4 linked regions of the Canis lupus familiaris genome follow. Each later gene encodes a partner of the first gene's protein in a complex. Links are inferred from orthologs where the notes say so. Each region holds a gene or a part of one and is shown in the gene's direction. Other genes may lie near its edges.

Region 1 (7,551 bases):
CCATGCCAAGGAGCTTTATTCCTATATTTTCTTCTAAGCATTTCACGGTTTTCATGTCTTTCATTTAAGTCTTCAATCCAGTTTGAGTTAGTTTTTGTGAGTGGGATGGGCCCAGTTTTATTATTTTACATGTAAATATCCAATTATCCTAGCATCTTTTATTGAAAAGCCTGTCTTTTCTCCATTGAATATTCTTGGCTCCCTTGTCAAATACTAGTCGACTATATATGCCTGGGTTTATTCCTGGGCTCTCAATTCTGTTCTACTGGTCGATTTATCCATTTTTTATGCCAGTACTATACTATTTTGATGACAATAGCTTTATGGTATAGCTTCTGAAAAAAATGCCACTGCAATCTTGATAAGGATTACATTGACTCTATAAGTGGCTTTTGGTAGTATTGACTTTTTAACAATATTAATTCTCCTAATTTGTGAACATAGGATACCTTTCCATTTATTCGTGTCTTATTCAATTTCTTTCATCAATGTCTTGTGGTTTTCGGAGTAGAGGTCTTTTGCTTCCTTAAATTTATTTGTAAATATCTTATTACTTTTGATGCTATTATCAATGAGATGAATTTTTTTCTTTTTCAGAAAATTAATTGTTAGTGTCTGGAAATACTACTGTTAATTTTGTATGCTACAACTTTACTGAATTCATTGATTAAAACTAAAGAGTTTTTTTTTTTTTTTCTGAATCTTTGGGATTTTCCGTGTATAAAATCATGTCATTTGTAAATATAGACAATTTTGTTTTTTCCTTTCTTTGTTTTTTTTTTTTTTCCCTTTCTACTTTGGATACCTTTAATTTCTTTCCTTGCCTGATGGCTCTAGTAGGACTTCTAGTACTGTGCTAAATAGGAGTAGTGAGAGTGGACATCCTTGTCTTGTTCCTGATCCTAGAGCAAAAGCTTTCAGTATTTCACCATTGAGTATGATGTTACTTGTGAGCTTGTCCTGTATGCACTGTATTGTGTTGAGATACGTTCTTTCTATGCTTAATTTTTAAAGAGTTTTTATCATGAATGTATGTTGAATGTTCAATATTTATCTCTTATCTGCCTGAGCCCAGCTCTGTATATCCACCTGTCAATGTGGCATCTCTTTTGGGCAGATCAAAAGCCTTCAAACTACCTGCTCTCACAGTCTTTCCACTTAAGCTTCATCCTCTGCCAAGATGGCCACCCCAGTGAACTAGTACCAATAGCCACCATTGGCTACAAACCAGAAACTTATGAGCTTTTCTTGATGACTCCCCTTCCCTTCACTACCTGCTTAATCTGTCACCAAGTTCTGTGCATTGGATCTCCTAAATGGTCTTCAGATTCTTCTTCTTACTGTTTCCATAACCATCACTCTAGAGCATCACCCTAGACCCTTCTACCATCTGGCCCACTCCACTTCTTTGCTGAAGCATGTCAGGACTTCCAATTGCACTTAGGATAAAGACATCGGTAGTATGACTGCACTAGGTCCTGTCTCTTTCCTACCTTCCCAACTTCATTTCATAGCTCCTTCTTGTCCTTCCAGCAGCACTTGGCTTTCTTCAGTTTCTCCAACTCACCCTGCTCCCTCTCATCACAGGACCCTTACACACCAAGTTATCTTCATCTGAAATACCTTCTGCCTAGTTAAATCTATTCTAACTTTAGAATAGAAGAGGCAGTTCCTCAAGGAAGACTTTCCTAGCCTTATTAATTCTACCCATCAGTTTTTTTTAGATTTATTTATTTATTCATGAGAGACACAGACTGAGAGAGAGAGGCAGAGACACAGGCAGAGGGAGAAGCAGGCTCCTTGCAGGGAGCCGGATGTGGGACTCGATCCCGGATCCCAGGATCAGGACCTGAGCTGAAGGCGCCTCTGCTGAGCCACCCAGGTGTCCCAATCAGTTTCATAATACTTTGCAGCCATATCAATTTGCAGTGATCATTTTGCATTTGTTTACCATTATTAATTCCATATTATGTTGATTACATATGTAAGTTCCATTGTATTGCCAGTGCTAGCACAGTGCCAGGTACAGAATGGGCATGTGATAATTGTTTATTGTAGAAATAAAGGAAGAAAGGAAAAAAGGCTGAGAGAGCAAGGAAACGGGGAGAGAATGTACAAATGATTGTTCACATTTATATTTCATTTCAGAATCACTGGAAACAGGCCAACTCAACAGGACAAGGGAAGATAGTATTCCTGGATTCAGTCATTTACTCAACAATATTCATGTGTTCATTATTAAAGTAATGTAATTTTCTTTTTTTTTTAATTTTTATTTATTTATGATAGTCACAGAGAGAGAGAGGGAGGCAGAGACATAGGCAGAGGGAGAAGCAGGCTCCATGCACCGGGAGCCCGATGTGGGATTCGATCCCGGGTCTCCAGGATCGCGCCCTGGGCCAAAGGCAGGCGCCAAACCGCTGCGCCACCCAGGGATCCCCTAATCTGGCAAATTTCTTTTCAGGTTTTTTCCATGTATGCATAATACATAGGTAGGATCATTATATAGAGACCTGCTTCTTTGTTTTCATGATACATCGTGAACATTTTCCTGTATTGTTAAGAATTCCTTGAACACCTGGCATTTAAATTGCTAAGCTACATTCTATTGGATGGATGGATGTAATTTAGACGCCCTTCCACCCATTGTTGGATATTTAACGGCTTGCCAATTCGTCACTCCTGCAACTAACGAATACACGCTTTGCGGGAGCTCAGAGATAAATAAGGTGATGAATTAAATCTAGCACGAGCTGGATTTGGGGAAAACAGGAGGCAGCTTCTTCCAGGTGGCTGAAAGGAACAATCACTCGCCGTAGGTGACGAGGCCCTGAAAGGAACGTGCTGTCGGTCAAGGTAAGCCCCGTTCTGTGTCTCGGGTGTGTGCCCGGCCCAGGGCCTGCTCCCGGGCGCCCGGCCTCAGGGCAGGCACCTCGCCTCCGGCTCCCACTAGGGGACGCCCCGGGCCGGGAGCCGCACGTGCCGCGCGCAGGGCCCCGCCCCCACCGGCCCCGGACACGCCCCTCGCGCCCGGTCCCGGCGCGCCCCCCGCAGCTCCGCCTCCAGGCGACCTCCGCGCGGCCTCCCGCTCCCGGAGGGGCCCCGCCCCCGCCCCGCCCCCGCATCCGGGCCCCGGGGCCGCCCCGCCCCGCCCGCCCCGCCCCGCCCCGCCCCGCGGGCCGCCTGCGAGGCGCGGGGGCGGGCCCGGCGCGATGACGTGGGCGGGCGTGCGCGGTGACGGCCCGCGTTCCTGTTACTCAGCGGAGCGGCCGGGGCCGGACGACGGGGCCGGGTGCGCGGAGCCGCCCTGGGTAACGGCCGTGGCGACCGCCCGGACGGCGCCAGTCCCGCGGGCGGGCTTCCCAGTCGCCGTGCGCTGCGTTGCGGGGTGAGTGCGGCGGCTGCCGCGGGGCCCGGGCGCCGGCGGCCCCGCCGTGTTTATGTTATTGTGCCGCCGCCGCCGCCGCCGCCGCCGCCGCCGCCGCCTTCTCCGCGGCCGGGACCCCCTCCCGGGAGTGGGGGCGGGAGCGCGGCGGCTCGGGGCGCGCGGCGGGCGGGCGGGGGCGGGGCGGGGCGGGGGCGGCGCGGGAACAATGGCGGGCGCGGAGGCGGGGCGGCCGGGGGCGTGGGGCTGCCGGACCCCGGCCCGCGCGCCCGCCCCGCCCCACAGCCCCGCGCGCTGCCCTCGCGGATGCCGCGTCCGCGTCGGGAGGGAACGTGGGGCGGGCGCTGGGCGGCGGGTCCTGAGGCGATTCGGGGAAGGTCGGGCGGAGGCGCCTGACTCGCTCCCGCGGCCGCCGAGTCCCGACGCCCGCCCTCGCGCACGGGCTCTCTTTGTGCCGAGGCTGCGGGCGGAGGCGCCGTCAGCCCTGGGCTGCGGGGTCCGCGGGGCCGGGCCGGGGTCGGCGTGCGCGAGCGCGGCCTCCCCTCGGGGGTCGCCGGTGCGGACCTTCCGGCCCTCCCCGCCCCCTCCCCTTTGTCTTGCACTCGTGTTCCCAAGGCTCAGACGGTGGAGCCGAGTCGGTCGTAGAGGATCGCGACGAACGCCTGCCGCGCGGGTGTCTGAGGGTGCGTAGCCGCGGGCCGACTACGGGCATCGGGGTTGCGGGGTCACTGTTTCTACCTCTGAGATTCAGGAGCCGCCTCGGTAGGATTCCGGCCTGTCAGGCCGTTGTGCTTTGGGATGAGCATCCGGCAGGTATCTGGGCCGGTGGAACATGTGTTTATTTCATTCATTCATTGAGCAGCTGTTCAGCACTGTACTCAGAGTTTGAAGCGAAGAGAAATACTTTTTTGATGGAGGAGGATGCTTTGAAATGTAATGGATGTCTTTTTAAATGAGTTATGTAAGCAGTGTGCGTTAAAGGTGTCGTTATACTCTGGGTCATTTATTTTTTTGGTTTTGGGTTTTTTTTCTTTTTTCTTTTAGTACAGTTAGGAGGTTGATCTAAACGTACAATGGCTTTCTTTATTTACAAATTTAACTTTTCAGTTTTAACAGCCTTACAGTCTTAAAAGTCATTTGTAATGTTTATCTCAGATTTCCCTGCTGTGGGTTAAACCTAGGAGATCACATGCTGTAAGGGAACATGCTCAGTGCTGTGCCTGACAAAAGCAAGCAATCAAAATGGGATTTCCTTGAGGACAGGCCTGTCTTTCATCTGTGTCTCCAGCCCTAGCCTGGAATATAGTAAGTGTTCAATAAGAGCTTGATGAAAAACTCTTCACGGTTAATACTATTTAAAATCCAGTCTTTACAGTTCTTTACAGTTCTCTGCAAACTCACTTTCAGTGGGCTAAGTGATTCGTTCATTTGTACTATCTGTCACCGCATCAGGGGCTTTTGAATATTTTAGTTTTTTTTTTCCTAGCACTTCTAATTCATTATCCTAAAATAAAATATTGTCTAAAATGCTTTTGTTGTTTTTGTCTTTTTTTTTTCTTAGTATGTGTATCACACACAGACATAGTGATATTACAGCAGGGGTCTAAAATGATTGAATTTGTCCTTTTTTGAACATTGCTTGAAAAGTTTCTGATGACGCCTGTAAGGGGAAAAGCTAGAGTATGGGAAATAAGCTACATGAAAGTTTTATTTGAAATGTTTAATTTCTAATTGCATTTGTAGAAATGTTTAATTTAAAATTCTACCTTGGTGAAGCATTTGGGCCTAACTGAATTTAAGATTTTACTATTGGAGAAGCATATGGGCCTGAAACTCCAAATAATACTGATTTATTCAAGTTACATCGTTTTTCCACTCACAGTTTAATAAATTTTAGCATGTTTTGGATATGAGAGAATTTGAAATGAGCTTATAGTATTGCCTGATGCAGAGAACAAATTAAAAGGAAATACTTCATTAAGATAAGGAATGAAAATCATGAGATACCAAACTTTTATTGATTTGTCTAGTTACAGTATGTCAGATTTCAGAAAGTGTTACTGATACAATCCTTTGGTGGTAGCTCACTGTAAGGCTACATGTCAATCCAGTTTTTTGTGTTTTTGAAATTCTTTTGGTTTTTAAAAATAACAATTTTATTGAGATACAAATGACATACCATAAAATTCACCCGTTTAGAGTGTGCATCAGTATGGGTTTTAAATATATTCAGAGTTCTGCGTTGATTGCTACTATGCAATTCCAGTACATTTTCATCACCCCAAGAAAAACTACGTACCCATTAGCAGTTACTCCCCTTTCCACTCTAAATTATGTTTATTTTATTTTATTTTTTAAAGATTTTATTTATTTATTCATGAGAGACACAGAGAGAGGGGCAGAGACACAGGCAGAGGGAGGAGAAGCAGGCTCCATGCAGGGAGCCCGATGTGGGACTTGGTCCCCGGACTCCGGGATCAGGCCCTGAGCTGAAGGCAGACGCTCAACTGCTGAGCCACACAGGCGTCCCCTAAGTTATGTTTAAAAAGAGATATCACTGATTCTTTTGGTGAGTATATTCCATTAATGAATTTGAAATGGGCTGTCTTTAAGTGTCCTGACAGAGTAGGAAACTATATTCTTATTATACTCCTTTAGATCCTGAGAGAACGGCCACTTGGAAAGGAAATTTAAGAATAAACTCCATCCAAATTAATGAGGTTAGAATCTTAACTCAATGCCTAATACTATGGAAATGACCTTCACCAAGTGAAGGTACTTGGTGCTCAGGGAAACAACTTGAAGTAATTTAAGTGACCAGTCCTTAGCTATTCTAGAGGCAGTCAAGGAAGTTGTATATTAGAAGTCTGATTCATATTAGTGTGTTTTGCCTATGAATTGATTTGGACACATTCAGATCATCTAGATAGTTCAGATGTTGTGTTGCACATGTAGAAGTATAAAGTAATGTCTGACATTAAGATGCCAGTTCTCTAGAGGTCTCTGGTCAAGTCAGTGGTATGGGTAGTAGCCTTTCTGATTTATGTAGTGCAAGGAAGTAATTATAGCCACATAGTTCTAGATATGAATCATTTGCTTAGTTCAGGGAGCTGTGATGCTTATTGTCTTAGTCATGAGCTCTTTACACGAACATTTAAAAACATTGGTCTTCTTACTCTAATACAGATTAACTTGAACTTTGATTTCAGAAATGAGTTCTGAGTCAACAGACTTTACTACCTAAAAGGAGACAGGAGTATTGAAATAAGAGCTGTTCTATCATTCAGGGCGATAGGTGAAACTAGATTTATCCAGGAGTCAGACCTAGGTTAACTTCTCAGTTCTGTCTTCTAGACTTTGTCATCAACAAGTTCTAGAGCTATAGAAAAGTTGCTTAACTTTTTTTTTTAAAGCTGTAAACAGGCTGTTGGATTTTTTTTTTTAAGATTCATTTATTCATGAGAGACACAGAGATCAGGGATGGGAATAAAAGCACATCTAGCAGTGAATTTATGTTCTCTTAAAAGATTTATAAGAGGGCTTCCCCCAAACAAACAAAAGCCTGCCCCAGATACCTGGATTTCATTGAAATCCATTTTTTTAAATTATATGTGAGTATGTATGTGTATAAGATCTTTTAGAAAATTTATTAGCTGCCATTCTTTTTCAGGGTGGTGGGTTATGTCACGAATATAGCTAATAAAGTGTAAATGTATGTCTCCTTTTACATTTGGTAGTACATTAGGTTTGGTTAAAATGTGTCTGTTCTTTAGAAAGCTAAGGAGCCCAAATTTAATAGTGGTTGTTAATATGGACTTTAAGGTCAGCTCTGAGTTCAAATTCATGCTCCAAATCTAACTAATTATATGGTTAGTTAGTTCAGGTTATATAACATCTTTGGGCCTGTTTTATTGTCAAGTGAGAATAGTAATAGCACATAATCTCATAGGCCTATAAGGTTTAAGTGAGGCATTGCACGTAAAGTGCTTGGCACTAATACAGTACCTGGAACACTAGATATAAGTATTCAGGAAATTTTAGCTATTATTATAGCTTATTATTTTTAACTTGGAACAAATGCAAAATGCCAAGTGAATTGAAAACTAATTTCATGTATACATTTGGATTTGCCAGGAAATGCCAGTTGTTTCCCCCTGCATCTCGGG
Region 2 (6,882 bases), on another chromosome or scaffold:
CATAAATAAATAAAATCTTTAAAAATAAATAAATAAAATAAAATAACATTAAAAATATTTTTATAGGCAGCCTGATCCTAGTTTACTTTTGTAGTATAATGAACACTTTCCCATGTCATTAGAAAAATTTTTAATGGTTGCACTTTATCATTATCTTAATGTATTATCCTGTTCTTTTTGGACATAAAGATTGTTTCCACATAATCACAGTTAATAGAAAATGCTGTTAATTCTGTGATATAAATATCCTTTTTCTAAAGAGCTTTCCAGTTCCTCCACACTCAACAGTTTTTCCCTCTTCATTGCTATTTTAGATCTTTCTAGGGTAATCCTTCTTCCTGCATTCCTGTCTATAGGTCTATAGCCTCTCTCTGGACAGGGCATAGTTGTGCCAACTTGTAAAAGTCTGTTCTGGGCCGCCTTCTCTTGTCTTTCTCACTTTTCGTCCTAGGTGATCTCATCTACACCCATAAATTTTAAAAAACAGCTACATGCTGTTGACTCTCAAACTTATGTCAACCAAGATATCTTCTGGATTTCCATACTCATTTACAGCTCCCATCTTGACATTTCTTTTTCTATGTCTAATAGACCTATTAAATTTAATATATCTAAGTCAGAGCTCTTGATTCTTTCCATAGTTTTCTCTAGCTCAGTAAATTTTCTCTCCATCCCATCTGGTTGCTCAAACCAAGAATCCTTAGTGCTGTCTCTCTCTCTCTCTCTCTCTCTTTCTTTCTTCTTTCTTTCTTTCTTTCTTTCTTTCTTTCTTTCTTTCTTTCTTTCTTTCTTTCTTTCTTTCTTTCTTTCTTTCTTTTTTTTAAGATTTTATTTGTTTGAGAAAGCACAAGTGGGGGAAGAAGGGGAGGAATGAGCAGACTCCTCATTGAGTGGAGAGCCTGATGCAGGGCATAATTCCAGGACCCCCAGATCATGACAGAAGCCAAAGTCAGATGCTCAACCAACTGAGCCACTCAAGGGCCTCCCTTCTTTTTCTTTACACCAAAGCAACAGCAAATCTTCTTAGACATCAGATATACCTTCTGAAATATCCTCAATTTATCTTCAGTCTTCAGTGTTAACACCTTACTCCAAGCCATCATCATCTTTTACTTGGATTAGTAACAATTATCTTCTAATTGGATTTGCTGCTTCCATCTCCAATATTCTATAGATGGCTTTGTTTTTAACACATTATAGTCACTTTTCTGCTTAAAATCTTTCAGTGGTTTGCCATTACATTTAAGATAACTAAATATTCTTAAGGGTGCCTAGGTGGTACAGTCTGCTGGATGTCCAGCTCTTGGTTTAGGCTCATCTCAGGATCATAGGATCAAGTCCAGTATTGGGCTCTGCAGTCAGCTTAGAGTCTGCTGAAGATTCTCTCTCCCTCTCCCTCTGCACCTCCCATTCATGGGTGCATTCTCTCTCTCTCAAATAAATCTTTAAAAGAAAAAAAAGACTAATACTCCTTTCTTAAGTCCTCGTTGATCTGAGCTTATCTGCTCATCCAGCCTTCACCTCATGCCACTGTGTTACATTCATCAAATATTCTAAGTTATTTCCTACCTCGAAGACATTACTCTTAGTACTGCTTCCCTCTCCCTCTCGCTTGTTATTTTTTCAGTATCCATTCATTCAGCACCATTTTTTTTTGCAAAGAAGCTCACCTTACTTGCTCTCTGAAGTAGCCAACTCTAACCTTCCCTCAGTTAATCTTTCATAATTTATTATGCTGTAGTATTACTCTGTAACATATTATTATCTGAAATTTTCTTCTTATTTATTGTCTCTTCCCCTAGCCCTTTGAAGGTATGCTATAAATTCTCAAACCTGTTGAATAAATGAAGTTCCAATAGTTCTAGTTGATCTTTCTTCCAAGGGGCTTAATAAGATTTGGTAATAGGCAGCATAAAGACCAATTCAAAGAACACAATAGACCCAATTTTTACTCTAACTAGTTAAGAAGTTCTATGTAAAGCCCTTAATCTCTTCCTAATCTGTGAAACTGGGGGGAAAAACCATCTTTAAGGTCCTGACTAACTCGCAGATTCTGTGTTTTCCTCTAATTAATTAATTTTTAAAGATTTTATTTATTCATGAGCAGCAGAGAGAAAGGCAGATAGACAGGCAGAGGGAGAAGCAGGCTCCATGCAGGGAGCCCAACATAGGACTCGATTCCAGGTCTCCAGGATTATGCCCTGGGCCAAAGGCGGCGCTAAACCACTGAGCCACCCAGGTTGCCCTGTGTTTTCCTTTAATTTAGAAAGATTTCACTCTAGTAATTATTTATTTTACATTCAGGATGTTAATCAGTATTCCTTGCCCTTTTGACATTGGGAAATTATCAGGAGTGGGGGATAGTAATAGCTACCTGAAATTAACAAACATTTGTATTGTGTTAAAATTTTTTTAACCGTTTCTATTACTGAATTTGTATCAACCATAAACCCAGTCTCCCTGGACCTGTTTCCTGTTTTTACAGTATAATGATGAAGTAGGACTAGGCAATCTCTCTGGATTTTAAGCTCTACAATTCCATGAGAATAAATTATATTTTTACTTTTCACAGAAATTCTCATGGAATCGTAGCCAAGTTGCCCAGCCTATTTCTGGATTGATAGGAAAACAAGTTGTACTGGAAAAAAAAAAAAAAAAAAAAAAAAAAAACCACTCTGATGTCTTTAAATTAAAATATGAACGTTGCATTTGAAAAGCTTTATAGCTACTTCCAAAATTTTCTTTATATTATATTTAAGTTATTTAAATAAAGTTAACATGAAATTACTTTGGGGGAGGATATTTATCCTGTGGACACTTTTCAAAGTGTGTTATATTCTGTTCACTCTAACGTCATGGATTGACTTACATTTTTAAATCCTACTCTTTCTCTATCTCATTAAATAGGAGGTACCATTGGCACAAACTGCACAGCCCACATCAGCTATTGTTCGTCCAGCATCATTACAGGTTCCCAACGTGCTGCTTACAAGTTCTGACTCAAGTGTAATTATTCAGCAAGCAGTACCTTCACCAACCTCAAGTACTGTAATCACCCAGGCACCATCCTCCAACAGACCAATCGTGTAAGTGATGATTTGGGCTAGTCATTAAACTGTTTATGAATTAAGTTTTTCTTAAGACATTTAATTATTCAAATTGTAGCCTTAGGGGTATGTGTGGGTATGTGTTAATCATATTCTGCATGCTTTGATTTTTGGAAAGTATTTGGGTTGTCTTTTTTTCTTCATATTATCTAATAGATTAGAAAACAAATATATAAAATTTAATTGGGGGAGGGGGGGAACATCAGAGAGAGGAGGAGAGAATCTAAACTCTCACAACCCTGAGATGACCTGAGCCAAAATCTAGGAGTCAGACACTTAACAAAATGAGCCACTCAGGCACCCCAACTAAAATTTAGTTTTAAAAACAAATCAACTTTATGAATTTAAGGCGGTCTCTTATTTTTAGTTCTTAACACATATCCCTCGAGCTTTCTTTGTTTTGTTATTAAGATTTTATTTTTAAGTAATGTTGACATTCAGTGTGGGGCTCAAACTCATAATCCCATGATCAAGAGTTGGCATGCTCCACCAACTGGGCCAGTCAGGTGCCCCTCAAGAGCTTCTGATAAGAATTTTTCTCATTTAACATTGGAGCTTGTCCTAAGTAAATCCATTAACTTTTCCTATTTTTCCCCTGTTGTTTTTCCACACTGCTTTATGTATTATACATTTAAGATGCAATTAAAAATAGTAAAAATTTGCAATTTGCTTTGTGATGGTTAGAAAATATTTTTAAAATATATTTTTAAAAAATAGTAAAAATACTCATATTTTTAGAGATGACTAATAAGGATTTCTTATCTTTAATTTTCCTTCTTCTGTTTTTCTTAGTCCTGTACCAGGCCCATTTCCTCTTCTGTTGCATCTTCCTAATGGACAGACCATGCCTGTTGCTATTCCTGCATCAATTACAAGTTCTAATGTGCATGTTCCAGCTGCAGTCCCAGTAAGTTTGAGATTTAGACTAAATCTTTTCTTCATACCAAACTGATCTTTGTAATCAGAAAATACACTTTCGGAAGCTTGATTGGTTTATGAAACTGAATCCAACAAAATACTTAGTAGTAGTTAGTAGTATTTACTCCCCTTTTAGTGGTAGCATATACCAGTAAAGGGAAACATAATTGACTAGAAAATGTTTTTCTATCTTCCAAAAAATTTTTTTCCTTCAATTGTTAATATTAAGAAATTTATCCTTATTTAACCCATTTCAATTTGACTAGTTCATAGAATTAAAATATTAACACATAGTTCTATTCTTTAGGAAGATATTTATACTAGAACACATGTCCAGTAACTCCATGATACTTCGATTATTGTAGGAATTGTTTATAAGAACACTCTCTGAACTTTTATGGTCAAGTTGGGTTTACAGAATTCCTTTGCTGGCCCAGGCATGTGGAAATCTAAACAGTCTAAAACAGTAGATAGTCCTTCAGTTTGCTAATGCAAATGTCTCAGAGAAATTGACCATTTGAAGGGTAAATCAGCATGTCAGATCCAAAAGAGAAGTCTCTTGAGCATGTTAAATATAAATATATAAATTTTGAAAGTCATAGGCAAGTTAAACACCTACTTGTAATACTTAATAATATAGAGAATATTTAAATGCACATTCTTTTGAGTAAGAAATACTTTTTCTTTTCTCACTTTTCATATAACAATTTTATTCAAACTCTTCTTCAAATGTGTCTTCAGTGTTCAGGTTTTCATCATTAAGATCACTTTTTAGGGCAGCCCTGGTGGTCCAGCGGTTTGGTGCCGCCTGCAGCCCGGGGTGTGATCCTGGAGACCCGGGATCGAGTCCCACGTCGGCTCCCTGCATGGAGCCTGCTTCTCCCTCTGCCTGTGTCTCTGCCTCTCTCTGTGTATCTCTCATGAATAAATGAATAAAATCTTAAAAAAAAAAAAAAAAGCACTTTTTAAAACACCTACCACAGTTTTTTCAAAACACTTTTTGTTTTCACCTAAGTAATTTCAACATAACACTTTCTGAATGTATATCTTCCTAGAAATCTTACCCAAGCCCTAATACTCCTTCATATGATAAAAAGAAATTTTTTTTTTACCTTACAGATATTTATTTCTGATCAGTACAATATAATCATTTATTGTATAGCTTAAAAAAATTTTTTTTCAAGATTTTATTTGAGAGAGGGAGCAGAAACAAGAGCAGGGAGATGGGCAGAGGCAGAGGGAGAAGCAGGTTTCCCACTGAGCAGGGAGCCCGATGTGGGGCTGGATCCCAGGACCTGTGGGATCATGACCTGAGCTGAAGGCAGACGCTTAACTGACTGAGCCACCCAGGTGCCTTTGAAAATTATTTTTAAAAGTCTATTTACAATAACTTCCAACATTTTGGTGAGATTATACCCCCAGGAAAATTATTAAAATTAATATGAAATATTTTTTATTAATACATTCTTCCAAGTGGCCTTGCTAAGTATTGAAAATTAGCACTGATTGGCATAATTATAAGATGAGGTATCATCTTCAGACAGAACCTTGCTGTTCAAAATGCATTATTTGAGTGACTTTATAAGGACTCAGATATTAGGTGACTACTTCCTATTTTTCTAGGATATTTTTGAAGGGGGAAACATTCTTGCCCTTGAATTTCAGATTATATAGTTACCCTGTTAAATATAATTATGATAAAACTAAAATGCAAGGAGAGCTACTGTAGCTATATAATAACTAATTACCAATGTTAATATTAGTTTTTTTAAAAAGGTATGCAAAATGAAAAAAATCTGTTCCACATTATTTCTAGAGAAATTATTTGAGGTAACCAGGTTCTTTCTTTGTCATTATGTGCATATTTATATACAAACGAACCTTTCTTTATGTATTTTAGAAACTGAATTAGAAGAGCAAAATTCATTGTGAAGTTATTTGCCTACTTGTCACAAGTTTTGACATTTTTTCCTTTCACATTCAAAATGTCAGTATGACAGATCTTTGGGAAATTTTGCATCAGTTTAAAAATTGAGTTTCTGTAAGAAGAAACTATTTAAAAAAAGACATTGAAAATTAGAGATTGGAGAAGCAAGTGTCTCAGAAATTGACAAGTTTTAAAGGATAAATCAGGACAGAAGATCAATAAAGATTTACACCTTTCTGGTTCTGAACTCTCAAATTTTTATAGCCATTGTGCAGATATAGGACAATCATTTTGAATATACTCTCTAGCAATTATTTTTCAATATATTTTAGCTTGTTCGACCAGTCACCATGGTGCCTAGTGTTCCAGGAATTCCAGGTCCTTCCTCCCCTCAACCAGTACAGTCAGAAGCAAAAATGGTAAGCAAGATTTACTTGTTCTGTACATTTCTTGAGCCTGTTTTGAATTAGTTTTTCCATTAAAGCCTGCTTCAAATATACAAGATAGATCACATTTTATAAAATTTGGAATGCATCACACTTTAGAAGAACCAGAAAATGTAGAGACTAGTTAGTGGTACCTTAAATGGATGGATTTGGGAGTAAAGTTCTAGCTCTTGTAATTGGTTTGGTTTTTGGCTGTAGCTTTTTAAACAAAATCTCCTCCTGGTGGTGGCTGGGAATATTACAGCTCAAACTAGATGTAATCATCTGAAGGCAGTACAGATGGTTTTATAAACAGTGACACAAATTATAGAACAATGTTAAGAATTCTGAAATCATATACAAGTTAGCAAATGTTACACATAATATACAAAGAAAAAACATAGTTTTTTCTTTTTTTAAAGATTTTATTTATTCATGAGAGACACAGAGGCAGACATAGGCAGAGGGAGGAGAGGTAGGCTCCATGCAGGAGCCCGATGTGGGA
Region 3 (6,882 bases), on another chromosome or scaffold:
ATCTAGGTAGCTCGGGTCGGATAGGGATCCCCCTGTGTCTTCTTGGAAGAAGGGGCCACTGGCCAGGAAATGGGAGGCAAAGCACCAGGCCAGATTGCAGAGCCCGGAGCTCCTGGGAGCCCCCTGGAGGGAGTGTGGCCACCGCAGACATGGTATCAGTCCGCAAAGGAGAGCTGCAGTGTGAGGTGGGGTGGGGTGCCTGTCTCTGGGTGACCCCCTGCTGCCTGTTACAGAGATCCTATAAGCCCTGCCAGGCAAGAGGAAACCAAGGGGTGGGGATAACGCTGCAATCCCCCCCCCCCCCGCCCCCAATCCTCCCTGCTCTGGCCCAGCCAGCAAGGGTGGGGAATGGTCCCAGGGCGCTGACTAGCTTCTGTAAGGCCGCACACCTGTTTGGGAATCCCGCACCCTTTCATCCCACGTGCACCAGCAGAGTTTGGGAAGGGCTGGTCCCTGCAACCAGCGGGGTCCCGGCGGCAGTACTAGCCAGAGGGGTACCCTGTGGGCCTCAGACAAGCTCGGGGGGCGGGGGGGGGCTTTCACACGCTCCTGCCGGCGAGCGCTCACCGCCCCGGGAAGCGGGGAGGCAGGGAGCTGGGAGGGAATTGGAGGCCCGGGATCTGTCCAGGGTGCCGGGGAGTCAGAGGCAGAGCGGAAACTAGACGGGAATTACGGAGGTTTGGGACGGCCCGAGGGCGCACCTCAGGTCGGAGGACCCTCCGCGGGGCGGGTGCCCCTCCCCCCAGCACCCCTCTTCCGGCCGCGCTTCGCTGCTCCTGTTCGCCCCGCCGCCCTCCCTCCATCCCTTGTGGGGCCCGAACTCCTAGGCGACCCTGCGTCCCCATGGCAACAGCGGTGACCTCACTCTGGGCTCGGCTTACAACCCCGGTGAGGTCACCGGCCGTTGCCAAGGGAACCGGAGGGTGCCGAGAGTCGGAGGGGGGCACCGCGGGAGGGGGCGCTGCGGCCTACCGAAGGCGCCCGCGGATTGGTCCCGCGCGTCCTCGCGCCCCCCCCCGCCGGGCCCCCCGCGCCCTCCCGGCCCCCCCGGCGGCGGCGGAATGGACTCGCCCGCGCGGGGGGCGGTGCGCGGCGGCCTCGGCCCCGCCCCCGCCCCGCCCCGCCCCCGGCGCGGCCCCGCCCCCTGACGCCCCTCCGCCCGCGCCGCGCAGCCCCCGCGCGCCGGGCTGCTGTCTGGGGGCGGCGGCGGCGCGGGGAGCCGGCTGCAGGCCGAGATGCTGCAGATGGACCTGATCGACGCGGCGGGCGACACTCCCGGCGCCGAGGACGACGACGACGAGGAGGAGGAGCGCGCGGCGCGGCGGCCGGGAGCGGGGCCGCCCGAGGCCGAGCCCCGCCAGGAGCCGGCGCCCCGCGGCCAGGGCCAGGGCCAGGGCCAGGGCCAGGGCCAGGGCCAGGGCGGCGGGGACACGTACCGGCCCAAGCGGCCCACCACGCTCAACCTCTTCCCGCAGGTGCCGCGGTCTCAGGTGAGGCGAGCGGCGCGGGGCGGGGCTGGAGGGGCGGCGCCCCGGGGCGGCGCGGGGGCGGGGAGCACGTCGGGGAGGCGCGAGGGGCCGCGGGAGAGGGGCCTGCCGGGCGCGCGGGACCCCAGGCGGGCGGGTGGGATCTGCCCTGCGAGCGGCCGGGGCGGGCCGACGGGCTTTGGAGCCTCGGGGAGGCTGAAGGGGTGAAGGGACGGGACGGACAGTGGGGGGACCTGGGTAGTAGGCGAGCAGGGGGCTCGGGAGCACAGGGCAGGCCTTTGAGGGCTAGTTGCAGGAGTTTGGAGCTCGGGCCTCAGGCTGGGGCGCGGTTTCCCCCAGGGGTGTGGGGCCCCAAGAGGAGAGCACCTGAAGTGGTCCTTGCGGGCGGGGGGAGGTCATGGAGGGTTGGTAAGAGGAGGAGATGGGGACCTCGGAGGCCGCCGCCAGAGTGAGATGTGGGCAGCTGGGAGTTCCCGGAGGCAGGGGAGAGACAAGGGAGGTGGAGCTGCCTGGCCGAGTTGGGGGCCCAGGGCCCCTGGGCTGGGTGGCTGGATGCCAAGGAGGGTTGAATAGGGTGGGGGAGAGCCGGCTGTGGCCCTTTGTCTTCCAGGCCCAGTCAAGAGAGGTACAGACGAGGGGCTCGGGAGGTGGGGCTGCGGGTGAAGGGTGCAGGGGCTGCAGGGAGAGGATTGGCCCCTTTCCCACAAGTCTCTGGGGTGGATTCTGGCAGCCAAACTCCTGCATGTGAGAGCCTATGAGTGTTCCCAGGGGAGGGGGCCTAAATAGTGTGTGTGGGAGCCTTGCCTGGAGGCATGGTGGAGAGGGGACCCAGGACACCAACCGCGTGGGGTGGGCAGCCCGAGAGATCCAGGAAGGCAGGCCGCTGACAACTACATCTGTCATTTCTCAGTCATGTGCTCCTGGAGGGGTGGGGGAACCATGTTATTGATTCATCATGTGGATGATTCATCCCGGTCCCCCAGGCCACCTGCTAGGAGACCCTTCCTTGCCCTTTTTTCAACTTTTCCTAGAATGTCCCTGCCCCTTCCCTAGATCATAGCTTCCTGAGTTCCAGGACTTGGCTGGAAGTGAGCATCTACCACGGAAAGCCTCCATGTCTGGGACTGGGGGTCTGGCTCTGTCCCCAGATGGCTCTTGCTTCTCCCTCACTCCTCCCCCCTCCCCAGCACACATATTGGCCATCAGCACCTTTGCTGAGGCTGATAAGAGCATCTCCCCAAGGGTTGGCCAGCTTCCCAGAGCCAGCAGGTCTGGCCAGGAGGGCCATGACTTGCCACCCCTCCTGCCTGTTTGAAGAGGGTTGGGGGTGAGGCCCTTGGCCAGTGTGTATGTGTGTGTGTGGCGGGGGGTGCAGCAAACGCCCTAGGGATGGCCTGATGGGGGCAGGGCCAGGGCCTCCCTGTGCCGGGCACTGTTGACTGCTTCTGTCACAAGGGCCTTTTGTTTTCTGCACAGGACACACTGAATAATAATTCTCTGGGCAAGAAGCACAGTTGGCAGGATCGGGTGTCTCGGTCATCATCACCCCTGAAGACCGGTAAGTCTTCCTTCCCTTACCCGGACCTCTACCTGCCCTGACTCAGTTTCCCCTGCAGAGAGCAAACCTGGGCAATCTCTCCATCTTGCCGAGTTGAGGTAAACTGCCCGTCCCATAGCCTGGAGCAGGCCCATCTGAAGTCAGCTGGGGTGGGAGTGAGAGCACTGGCCCCGGAGCCTTCCCCTGGTTTCTGTGTCCCACATGCTGAGTGGAGGGGGCAGGTGGCCTGGGAGTCAGGGACGAGTCCACCTGCCTTTAGCACTGACCTGCCTGCTCTCCAGGGGAGCAGACGCCTCCACATGAGCACATCTGCCTGAGCGATGAGCTGCCGCCCCTGAGCAGCCCCACCACCACCAAGGACCGAGGCACCTCCACCGACAGCCCTTGCCGCCGCAGCACCGCCACGCAGATGGCCCCTCCCGGCGGCCCCCCCGCCGCCCCGCCGAGTAGCCGCGGCCACTCGCATCGAGATCGCATCCACTATCAGGCGGACGTGCGGCTAGAGGCCACCGAGGAGATCTACCTGACACCGGTGCAGAGGCCCCCGGACCCTGCGGAGCCCACCTCCGCCTTCCTGCCACCGGCCGAGAGCCGTATGTCCGTCAGCTCCGATCCAGACCCTGCCACCTACCCCTCCACCGCGGGGCGGCCGCACCCCTCCATCAGCGAGGAGGACGAGGGCTTCGACTGCTTGTCGTCCCCGGAGCGGGCCGAGCCGCCGGGCGGAGGGTGGCGGGGGAGCCTTGGGGAGCCGCCGCCACCTCCACGGGCCTCGCTGAGCTCGGACACCAGCGCCCTGTCCTACGACTCGGTCAAGTACACGCTGGTGGTGGATGAGCACGCACAGCTGGAGCTGGTGAGCCTGCGGCCGTGCTTCGGGGACTACAGCGACGAGAGCGACTCGGCCACCGTCTATGACAACTGCGCCTCTGCCTCGTCACCCTATGAGTCGGCCATTGGGGAGGAATACGAGGAGGCCCCCCGGCCACGGCCCTCAGCCTGCCTCTCCGAGGACTCCACGCCCGACGAGCCCGACGTCCACTTCTCCAAGAAGTTCCTGAACGTCTTCATGAGTGGCCGCTCTCGCTCCTCCAGTGAGTCTGCAGCAGGCGCGGTAGGGGACCTGGGATGAGGGAGAGCCAGACCGAGGGTGTCCCTGGAAGGTGGCCTGGCCCGCCTACCTCAGGGCATTGGGACTGAGCACTTGCTACTGCCCCCCACCGCAACCTCAGCCGGAAGTGGGACGGTTCTTCTCCAGCTCACCCCCCTCGTACAGGTGCGGAGTCCTTCGGGCTCTTCTCCTGTGTCATCAACGGGGAGGAGCAGGAGCAGACACACCGGGCCATATTCAGGTAAGAGCAGCAGGGTTGGGGTGCCCAGGCAACACTGGGGCCACCTGCCCCCACCCCCATGCCCCTGCCATCTCTGCGTGGCCTGGACGCAGCCCCCAGCACTGGCATTCCTCCCTCCACTTGGTTCCAGGGGGATGGCATCCATCGTGGTGGAACTCAGAGCAGGGTGATGGGAGGGGATGGGTCAGTGCAGTGTGGCCTTTCCTGCGTTGCCAGGGTCTGGGATGGAGCACGTAGTGTGGCTGGGGGCCGGAGCCCCAGAGGGCACCCAGCAGAGATGTTGCCCGACCACACCAAGGCACACTCCTCACCTCCCTCCCGGGGAAGTGCTCCCTCCCGGTTACCTCTGGTTCCCCTGAGTGGCTGTGGGCACTTCCTCCCTTAGCCCGCCAGCTCAGTGGCAGGTGCACGTCTGTGTGATCTTACTCTCGCCCAGGAACTAACGTTATCACAGGCTCGGGAGACTTCGAGGGGGTTTATTGAACTAGTGCTGCTGTTGTGGCCACCTGACCTCAGAGTAGCGTGGCGAGCAGATGGCTCGGGAGGCCCTGGTGCTGAATTCCTCACGTGCCCTTGGTGGGGGACAGGTTTGTGCCTCGACACGAAGACGAACTTGAGCTGGAGGTGGACGACCCCCTGCTGGTGGAGCTCCAGGCCGAGGACTACTGGTACGAAGCCTACAACATGCGCACGGGCGCCCGGGGCGTCTTTCCTGCCTACTATGCCATCGAGGTCACCAAGGAGCCTGAACATATGGCAGGTAGTGTCCTTCCCCTCCTCGCCATTGGGCCCCCGTCTGCCCTTCCCTGACTCGCTGCCAGGAGACTTCACACCGTCAGGAAGGGCCCTCGCAGAGATGACATTAGGCCCAGCCAAGTTGGGACATCTGGGGTTGGTGGCCCCTCCGCTGGCACTTCCACTCCTCACTTCGCGCTTGCCTTCCAGCCCTGACCAAAAACAGTGACTGGGTGGACCAGTTCCGGGTGAAGTTCTTGGGCTCGGTCCAGGTCCCCTACCACAAGGGCAACGACGTGCTCTGTGCCGCTATGCAAAAGGTGCCTGTTCCCTGTCCCCTTGGAGGGGCGCCCACCCCCAGCCCAGTCCCCCTCCTCTTCCGGGGAGAGGGTCGCCCAGCGCCTGATTCCTGTCCCTCCCCCCCAGATCGCCACCACCCGCCGGCTCACCGTGCACTTTAACCCGCCATCCAGCTGCGTCCTGGAGATCAGCGTGCGGGGCGTGAAGATCGGCGTCAAGGCTGATGATTCCCAGGAGGCCAAGGTGACCGCCCTGGCCCCGGCCCCCAGCCCCGCCACCAGATCTCCCACCCGTGGCCCCTGCGGGCTGATGATGCCCTGCCTCTCTTCTCCCTCCCGTAGGGGAATAAATGTAGCCACTTTTTCCAGTTGAAAAACATCTCTTTCTGTGGATACCATCCAAAGAACAACAAGTAAGAGGGAGGGGACAGAGAGTGAGGCCTAGGGGGGCGGCCCGGAGCCATTACGGTAGGGTGCGGGTCTGCGGGTATGCCTGGAGGGGTCTGGACCCTCGTCCCGCCCTCACACAGACGGCTGCCCTCCCGCAGGTACTTTGGGTTCATCACCAAGCACCCCGCTGACCACCGGTTTGCCTGCCATGTCTTTGTGTCCGAGGAATCCACCAAAGCCCTCGCAGAATCCGTGGGGTATGTCCGTGTGTGTGTCCTGCCGAGCACCCAGCCCTGGAGTGCACCCTAGTCCTCCTCACAGCTCTCCACGCCTCGTGGCCTGGTGTCAGGGCTGCGGGGTCTGGAGGAGCCCCCAAACGTTTTGGTGGTTGGGCCCTTCCTTCGACTGAAGTCTTCCCCGGGAGGCACAGTGTGTAGAGAACAGAGCCAAGCAGCTCGGTTGGGGGGACCCTGAGCCCTACCCAGGGACCCCGAGGCTCCAGTTTAAAAGCCTTGGGTGGAGAGCCCGTTCTTCCCGTCACGTGTGTCTGCCTGCTTCCTAGGAGAGCTTTCCAGCAGTTCTACAAGCAGTTCGTGGAGTACACGTGCCCCACGGAAGACATCTACCTGGAGTAGCAGCGCTGCCCGGCCCTCTACATCCCCCGGGCCCTCGGGCCCGCGGCCAGGACAGCTGGCTGCTGACAGGACACAGCACCGCTTGAGGAGGGGCACCCGTCACCACCAGAGGATGGGGAAGTGGGGGCCTCTGGCCGAGGGTGGGGGAGGGCGGGGTTTATGGGGAGAGGCAAATGCAGTTTATTGTAATATATGGGACTAGATTCATCTATGGAAGACAGAGCAGGCTGCCTGGGGATTGGGGGGTTGCTGGGCTGAGGGGTGTCAGGCCTCTGGCCAGGAAGGATGTCCACTGCAGGAGCAGAGGGCCCTGTTGTCGCATCCTGGGCCTCACTTCCCCTGCTGGGCCTCCGGCTTTCTGGCAAAGGCTCCTACTTTGACGAAGCCCGTGCCGCCCGCCAGTGCCCACCCCACCCCCAGCTCCCA
Region 4 (7,455 bases), on another chromosome or scaffold:
CAGAGAGAGTGAGAGAGGCAGAGACACAGGCAGAGGGAGAAACCCTCTGCAGAGAGCCCTCTGCAGCCTCCCTGCAGGGGGCCCAATGCGGGACTGGATCCTGGATCACGCCCTGAGCCAAAGGCAGACGCTCAGCCACTGAGCCACTCAGGTGTCCCCCCACCATACTTTATGCTCAGCCACCAGAATCCCAAACTCCAACTCTCACCTCCTCTTACTCAGGAGAAAATGGAACCTGAGACTCCATTACCTATACATAATGTGAAGAGAAAATGTGGGGGATCCCTTGGTGGCTCAGCGGTTTAGCGCCTGCCTTCGGCCCAGGGCATAATCCTGGAGGCCAGGGATCGAGTCCCACATTGGGCTCCCTGCATGGAGCCTGGTTCTCCCTCTGCCTGTGTCTCTGCCTCTCTCTCTCTCTCTCTGTGTCTCTCTCTCATGAATAAATAAATATCTAAAAAAAAAAAAAGAAAATGTGTTTTGTGTGTGAGTATGTATGTGTATGCTAGCAGGACAATGTAATTCTGCAGGACTCCAACAACTAGAGCACAGAGAAAGGCAGGATTGGGAGCTGCCAAAGACTTAAGGGCTGTTTCATAATGCCCGGTGCCGGAAGAGTAGTTCCGATTTTGCTGTACATGGCATTTAAGTATTACTCATTCACAACTATGACATGTATTCAAAGTGAAAGTAGTGTATTCACAGAAGCACTGTCCATCCAGAGACATGTGGAGTGGATTTTCTTTCCCATAATCATTAAAGATTTAAGTAACTGCTGGTTTCTAAAAATAATCAATTAAAAAGAATGAGAACTGAGTTCATTTTGCATTACTTGTGAACCCTATAGGAAGTAAGTTATGGATCGTCTACACCCCAAGATTTACCTTCATTCTTTTAGGGAAAACAATAAAATTTTATACTCTCCACTACAGTTTGCTAGCTTTAGAAATGACTCCTATGTGATTTGACAGGTAAGAAAAATAGCTCAAAATCCTATGTATTTTTCTTGGAGTTGAGACTACTGAAGATTTTGAGAGTTATTAAATGTTTCAAAAGTCTGAACTAAAGATTTTGTAGAATTTATTGCCTCAAATTAAGGAAATTAAAGAACAATGTTATTTTAGCATCCTTAAGGAGCCATAACATTATTTTCTGCAAAACGATAATGGATACAGTATTCAGATTTGCTTTCAAAATTAATAATACTGAACAATCAAGCTAACAAGGCATTCATGGAAAAATTATTTTCTGATGTCTGGAAAACTTTCAGAACTTCCCCTTTCTGTCTTGGAAACACAACTTCCTGTTGGGGTTTGCTACTTCACAAACAATCTGTTTCTCCAGGTGAGTCTCAATTCCAGACTATTGCATTGGGCTTTCCCTTCCGTCTAATCATTTTTCTTAGAGCCTTCTGTAAGAGCAGGAAGAGGGAGATAATGTAGAATAAAGCAGGCAGCACAGAAAAGCTAGAAATTTTTTTTCATTCTAAGGGTGGGTGAAACAAAAACGTGACAGCTGCAAAGTGTTAATGGTAAGGTGGGAGGGGGAAAGGGCACCCAAAGAAAGAAAAAAAGCTAGCACAAGCAGTATGCCAGAGACTGAAAAGGAAGACCTCTGAAAGGCATAAAGGAGTGACTTTCTACTTCAAAAATTGGTAAAGTCTAGAAGTCAGACTCCTTTAAAAAAAAAAAAAGTCCAATTTTCTAAACATTCTAAAACATCAATAAGCTGATCATCCCTATCTTCATGAAATAAAACTAGATAACACTAACGTAGATAGACATAGGGCAGAGATACGTTATATACACAAACTACATGAATCAGCCAAGAATGAACAACGCCTGTTAGAATCACAGGGACAAGTGATTTGGATTGCGATAGGGGAATGGTGGTAGGATATTAAGACAGATTAACAAGAAGGAATTCACTACTTTTCTTAGGGAAGGCTTTCTAGAGGAGGTTAGATTCTGGACGAATAGCAACAGGAGCTTAGCAGAGTGTTCCAACCAACCAACCACAGGAAAATAGCTCAGAGGGGGAGTGAACTGATTATATGAATGGGGCATTGAGTAAGGGAGGCTGCGAGAAGAAAGGGGAACCTTCAAGGGGAATAGGGCTGGTTCAGGGTGCCCTAATTAAGGTCTCCAAACTGGGGAAAGTCTGGAAGGGGGTCAGGGGAAGGCAAAAAGAAAAGCACGGTAAGTTTCTTCACTCGTTTTGCTGGGCAAGTCAAGGACGAGGGTTGGCACTACCTGGAAAAGCTGACAAACAGGCTTGCCCTGGGAGGGAGAAATTTCCAGAGAGGGCCCCTTCTGGAAAGACGCAGCGCCCCGTCCCCTGAATTCCTGGCTGGGTACCACGGGGGTAATAGCCGGAGGCTCCGGGATGTCTAAGGCAGGTGTTTGCTGGGTGTTGGCGTGGCTACCGGGCTGAGGTTCAGCGGCGGGTCTAGCCCTTAGCGACAAGCAGGAGGCGGCGGCGGCGGCGGCAGCTGCGCGTGCAAACCACAGGACTTACCTTACTGTCATCCATCTCCGCGGACAGGCCGGCCTGGCCAGGCGCTCCCTCCCCCTGCCCTCCCCCGGCTCAGCCGGCCTGGCCCGGCCCGGCCCGGCCCCCGCCCCGGGGGAAGAAGGGGATATGGTTCTGACTGTCTCCTCCTCTCGCCTAACAGTTCGCTTCCCTGATGCCACAGTCACGGGGACGAGGGACCAGTTCAGGAATGACAGAGCGGACCCTGGAGGCGGCCCAAAACGCCTCCTTTCGCCGCCGCCGCCTCCTCCTCCCCCTCCATGACAGTCTCTGGGTGTGTTTACAGACGCCCTGGAGAGCGGCCCGGACCGGAGAGTGGGCGGGAACACTGCACGCGGAATGGCCTCTTCGGGTGCCGTAGTCGACGGCATTCTGGGGATTGTAGTTTTCTCTAACGCACTCTCTGCGGGGCTGACTACGAAGAAAACTACAATGTCCACACACCCTCAGCCAGGCGTCTGTTTTCCTCGGGCCTGCGAGCGGTGCGGGGGAGGGGCCAGCCGGGAGGCCAGACTACGTCTCCAACGGGGCGCTGGGTTGGACCAGCCGCGCTCTGGGCACCGGTGGGACGAGCTTGGGGCCCCGTGGAAGCCCTCGGGAGGGAGGAACCCTGGGAGCAGGCCCTCCTCCGGGACGCCGAGGAGACCCTGAAGCTTCTTCATAAAAAGAGGAAAGGAAACTAATAGCGTGCAGGGCTGCAGCTGCTTTAGGGAACAATTTGGCAGTGCCTCACCGTATTAGACGTAAAGTTACGACATAGCCGGCAATTCCAAAGAAATGAAAACTTGCACACCAGTGTTCTCTCTTAGAGGCCTTATCCATAATAGTCCAAAAGTGGAGACAACCCCAATGTCCATCAGCGGATGAATGGATCCGACGAATGTGGTATGTATGTGCAAAGGAATGTTATTAGACCATAAAAATGAAGTGGAAAAACAAACAAACAAACGAAGTGCTGATACGTGCTACCGTGTGGATGAGCCTTGACAACGTGCAAAATGAAGAGCCTCATATTGTAGATTCCGTTTATAATGGAAGGTCCAGAATAGGTAATTTAAAGAGACCAACGGTTAGCTAGGGGTTGACAGGGGCTAGGGTTGGGAACCGCAGGGAGGTGGGGCAGGTGTGGGGAGGCATCGTTAGTGGGCGCCGGTGTGTTTGGTTTTTAAGGTGATGAGAATGTTCAAAAATTAAGGGCATCTAGCTGGCTTAGTGGGTGGGGCATGGGACTCCATCTCGAGTTGTGAGTTTGAGTCCCACATTTGGGTTTAGCAATTACTTAAAAATAAAATCTTTTAAAGAAAGAAAATGTTCTAAAATTGATTGGGCAGCGGCTGCACAACTCTGTGAATATTCTTAAAACCACTGAATTGTGCGGCGCCTGGCCTGGCCGGCTCAGTCAGTGGATTGTGGGACTCCTGATCGTGGGGTCTTGAGTTCAAACCCTAAGTTGGGGATAGAGCTGACTTTAACAAGACAAAACAAGAAAAACCCCTACACTGAATTATACATCTTATTTTATTATTTGTTTTTAGAGAGAGAGAGAGCAAGAGGGGCAGAGGCGGAGAGAGAATCCAAAGCAGACCCTGTGCTGAACACAGAGTCTGACGTTGGGCTGGATCCCACAACCCTGAGATCCTGACCTGACCCAAAACCAGAGTCAGGCATTTGACCAACTGGGCCATCCAGGCATCCCCTGAATAGTACATTTTAAGTGAGTGAATTTTATAGTATGTGACTTATATCTCAATAAAATCATTAAAAAATAACTAAGAGTGTCTTTGCATCCTCCTGATTTAATAAAGTCGGTGGCTCTTTGTTAGTTTAGCCTAATTAAACCACGGAAAATTTGATAAAAATTCATTAATGTTCCTTAATGTTATTCTGAAGAACTCACTGACCCAGTCCTTTTCAAAGACTCCTAAAACCCTTCCAAAATTCCATTGGAGTTCCCTGATTTAGCAATAAATATACAGAACACTCACATTTGATTTTAGGATAAACAAGTAACTTTTTAGTATAAGTATGTCCCATACAATATTTAAGACACACTTACTAAACAAAGCATTTGTTGTTTATCTGAAAATCAAATTTAACTGGGTACCTTCTATTTTATCTTTCAATTCCAAGTTGAGGAAGGGCAATAGAGAGAGGCATGCCTTGTTTTACTGTACTTCACTTTATTGTGCTTTTTACAAATGGAAGGTTTGTGGCAACCCTGCCTTGAGCAAGTCTATTAATGCCCTTTTCCCAAATAGCATTTTCTCACTTTGTGTCTCTGTGTCACAGTTTAGTAATTCTTACAATATTTCTTTTTTTTTTTTTTAAGATTTATTTATTTATTTGAGAGAGAGAAAGAAGCAGACCCCCACTGAGCACGGAGCCCAATGCCGCTGCCATGGGCTTGATCTCACAACTGTGAGATCATGACCTGAGCGGAAACCAAGAGTTGGGCGCTTAATCAACTGAGCTCCCCGAGTGTCCCAATTCTCACAACATTTGAAAATTTTTCGTTATTATTATGTTTGTTATGGTGATCTGTGATTAGTGATTATGGCTTGCTGAAAGCTCAAATGATGGTTAGCATTTTTTAGCAATAAAGATTTTTACGTTAAGGTAGGTACACTTTTTAAGGAATAATGCTATTCCACACTTAATAGACTGCAGAACAGTGAAAAAATAACTTTAACATGCACTTGGAAACAAAAAAATTCATTCAGCTTGCTTTATTGTAGTGGTCTGAGAACTGAACCCATGATATCTCCGAGTTATGCCCGTAACAGGAAAGTTGAGTCATCTCTGATCTATATAATGCTTCAGAGGAACTAAAGGAGGTCACTTCCTCCAAATAAAAACCATGTAGCCAGTTCTTGAGGCTGGTAATGGGTCTGGCATGCTGGGGTTTCAGCAGCTTGGCCCACCCTTAACCCCCAAACTGCATTCCTGGAGGTCTCAGAGACAGCTAGCCACATCCTCTCTGATGATCAGGGGAGCAAAAGTCTGTGCTCACTGGAGCTCTCTGCCTCACCTACTACCCCTTTTGTTCTCCATCTCCAGGGGCTGCTTTCCACCCCTAAAGCTTTCTATTGTGCCGCTGGCCTCAGTTTTGCTTCCCTGGCTATGCCCTTGTCACTAAGTCCTCTTTTTTGAGGTGAAACAGCTTTTCCCCTGGGTTAATCCTCTACCACTGTCTCTTCCTGCATCCCAGCTGACAAAAGTGTACCCAGTCCTCTGCAATGGCACTTATCCACTCCCATCCTTCTACAGAGGCTTTGTGTGATCTGTTTGCAGACTCAATCACCAGCCCTTCAAGGAGAGATAAGGCCTTTAAAAAAAAAAAAAAAGATTTTATTTAGAGCTAAGACCTTTTGAACCATGTAGTACAAATCTAAAAACATGCAGGGAAGTGTGTATACCAGTTTCAGGAGAATGGTTTTCTCTAGGGAGGGAGGGAGGGACTTGGGATGGGGAGTGGCTAGTTGTATATTTAACTTTTAAAGAGATGAAGCAAATATGTTAACTCTGGAAGTGGAGTTGTATTGTTGTCTTTGTATTTCTGTGCATTTGGAACATCACAATTAAAATAGAAATTTTATTTTTTTTAAAAATTTTATTTGAGAGAAAATGAGCAGGAGGAGCAGAGGGAAAAGCAGACTCCCCACTGAGCAGGGAACCAGAGGAGGAGCTCAATCCTAGGACCCTAGGATCATGACCTGAGTCTAAGGCAGATGTTTAACCGACTGAGCTACCCAGGCACCCCTTAATAGAAATTTAAATTTAAGAATTATAAGCATGCTCACTTTAGAAAGTGTGGAACTGGGCAGCCCCGGTGGCTCAGTGGTTTGGCGCCGCCTTCAGTCCAGGGCATGATCCTGGAGACCCGGGATCAAGTCCCACATCAGGCTCCCTGCATGGAGCCTGCTTCTTCCTCTGCCTGTGTCTCTGCCTCTCTCTCTCTGTGTGCCTCTCATGAATAAATAAATAAAATCTTAAAAAAAAAAAAGTGTGGAACTACTTTAAATATTTTTAAAATCTAATTTATAAAAGTAAACCTTAATCACATCATAAAAGAAGACTTTGTAAAGCATGGAAAGTCTTACTAAGAAGTATTGTGTAGTCATGTGTTAAACATTTTCTGAGAAGTACTCAGAATTGGTAACAAAGAGGGAAGAACAAGAGAGAGTATTAGTTTTTTTTTCTTTTTCTTTTTTTAAGATTTTATTTATTTATTCACAAGAGACAGAGAGAGGCAGAGACACAGGCCGAGGGAGAAGTAGGCTCCCTGTAGGGAGCCCAATGTGGGACTCTGATCCCAGGAGGGAACCCAGGATCACTCCCTGAGCTGAAGGCAGATGCTCAACCACTGAACCACCCAGGCATCCTGAGAGTATTAGTTTCTATAAGTATAAATCCTTGAGGATTTTATAATCCAAGTAGAAATTCACACGTACAGGAGACTGAACAATCACTAAAGGCATCGGTGAAAATAATAACAGACCAAACTTAATATCCATGTGTTAAATTGTTCAGAGTGGGTATGGAGTGCCAAGAATGAGACTGATCTCGGTAAAGTAAACACAGCAAATGTATTTTTTTATTTTTAAAGGAGTGGGAGGAAGTTTAGAAGGAGAATATTTTCTCAGGGTGCTGGGCCTGCTTTATATTCATGATTTTCAATCTTTTCTTCCTCCTCAAAAGGAACCTCCAAGGCATGCAATTCCTTCTAAAAATGCATATAATTTTTCCCTCCCTCCCCTCCCCACTCCTCCTTCCCCAACACACACACACACAAACACGTTTCATATACTCCCAGACACCCCGCATAGAGGCACTGTTGGCCTACGATGCATCAAGCCTCTGCTGCTGCTGTGGAGTTTCTTGTAGTGAATTCCTAAGCAGCATGGCACACACCCACTCCCACTA

The links.
Region 2: the proteins of MAPK8 (region 1) and ATF2 are in contact, whole or in part, in a crystal structure (PDB 6ZR5), measured with the Homo sapiens proteins. The link is inferred for Canis lupus familiaris from reciprocal best matches to the Homo sapiens genes MAPK8 and ATF2. Residues at the interface, in NP_001310257.1 of Homo sapiens: Asp112, Ala113, Gln117, Val118, Met121, Glu126, Arg127, Tyr130, Leu131, Tyr133, Val159, Lys160, Ser161, Asp162, Cys163, Val323, Trp324, Asp326, Ser328, Glu329; in NP_001243019.1 of Homo sapiens: Phe36, Val44, Lys48, Met51, Thr52, Leu53, Lys54, Phe55, Gly56, Pro57.
Region 3: the proteins of MAPK8 (region 1) and MAPK8IP1 are in contact, whole or in part, in a crystal structure (PDB 3VUM), measured with the Homo sapiens proteins. The link is inferred for Canis lupus familiaris from reciprocal best matches to the Homo sapiens genes MAPK8 and MAPK8IP1. Residues at the interface, in NP_001310257.1 of Homo sapiens: Lys83, Asp112, Ala113, Gln117, Val118, Met121, Leu123, Glu126, Arg127, Tyr130, Tyr133, Val159, Lys160, Ser161, Asp162, His286, Val323, Trp324, Asp326, Glu329; in NP_005447.1 of Homo sapiens: Arg157, Pro158, Lys159, Arg160, Pro161, Thr162, Thr163, Leu164, Asn165, Leu166.
Region 4: the proteins of MAPK8 (region 1) and DUSP16 are in contact, whole or in part, in a crystal structure (PDB 4YR8), measured with the Homo sapiens proteins. The link is inferred for Canis lupus familiaris from reciprocal best matches to the Homo sapiens genes MAPK8 and DUSP16. Residues at the interface, in NP_001310257.1 of Homo sapiens: Arg189, Val196, Ile197, Leu198, Gly199, Asp229, Ile231, Trp234, Gln253, Thr255, Val256, Thr258, Tyr259, Val260, Asn262, Arg263; in NP_085143.1 of Homo sapiens: Phe215, Leu267, Asp268, Tyr271, Lys275, Pro279, Ile281, Ser282, Pro283, Asn284, Phe285, Asn286, Leu288, Gly289, Gln290, Leu292, Asp293.

The regions. Positions count from the first base shown.
Region 1 is NC_049249.1:429,527-437,077, forward strand, and holds the start of MAPK8 (mitogen-activated protein kinase 8), read left to right. Parts: upstream 1-3,239; 5' UTR 3,240-3,388; intron 3,389-3,994; exon of another isoform or gene 3,995-4,068; intron 4,069-4,540; exon of another isoform or gene 4,541-4,690; intron 4,691-7,551. UniProt on the Homo sapiens protein: Serine/threonine-protein kinase involved in various processes such as cell proliferation, differentiation, migration, transformation and programmed cell death.
Region 2 is NC_049257.1:19,389,951-19,396,832, reverse strand, and holds part of ATF2 (cyclic AMP-dependent transcription factor ATF-2), read left to right. Parts: intron 1-2,907; coding exon 2,908-3,086; intron 3,087-3,899; coding exon 3,900-4,014; intron 4,015-6,284; coding exon 6,285-6,371; intron 6,372-6,882. UniProt on the Homo sapiens protein: Transcriptional activator which regulates the transcription of various genes, including those involved in anti-apoptosis, cell growth, and DNA damage response.
Region 3 is NC_049239.1:43,942,951-43,949,832, reverse strand, and holds part of MAPK8IP1 (C-Jun-amino-terminal kinase-interacting protein 1), read left to right. Parts: intron 1-389; exon of another isoform or gene 390-695; intron 696-701; exon of another isoform or gene 702-852; intron 853-1,172; coding exon 1,173-1,490; intron 1,491-1,855; exon of another isoform or gene 1,856-1,908; coding exon of another isoform or gene 1,909-2,112; intron 2,113-2,963; coding exon 2,964-3,045; intron 3,046-3,326; coding exon 3,327-4,139; intron 4,140-4,321; coding exon 4,322-4,397; intron 4,398-4,984; coding exon 4,985-5,157; intron 5,158-5,342; coding exon 5,343-5,452; intron 5,453-5,558; coding exon 5,559-5,675; intron 5,676-5,773; coding exon 5,774-5,844; intron 5,845-5,979; coding exon 5,980-6,078; intron 6,079-6,383; coding exon 6,384-6,456; 3' UTR 6,457-6,882. UniProt on the Homo sapiens protein: The JNK-interacting protein (JIP) group of scaffold proteins selectively mediates JNK signaling by aggregating specific components of the MAPK cascade to form a functional JNK signaling module. Required for JNK activation in response to excitotoxic stress.
Region 4 is NC_049248.1:12,463,588-12,471,042, reverse strand, and holds the start of DUSP16 (dual specificity protein phosphatase 16), read left to right. Parts: upstream 1-2,903; 5' UTR 2,904-3,417; intron 3,418-7,455. Other genes in the region: CREBL2 (cAMP-responsive element-binding protein-like 2), read right to left, coding at 2,518-2,903. UniProt on the Homo sapiens protein: Dual specificity protein phosphatase involved in the inactivation of MAP kinases. Dephosphorylates MAPK10 bound to ARRB2.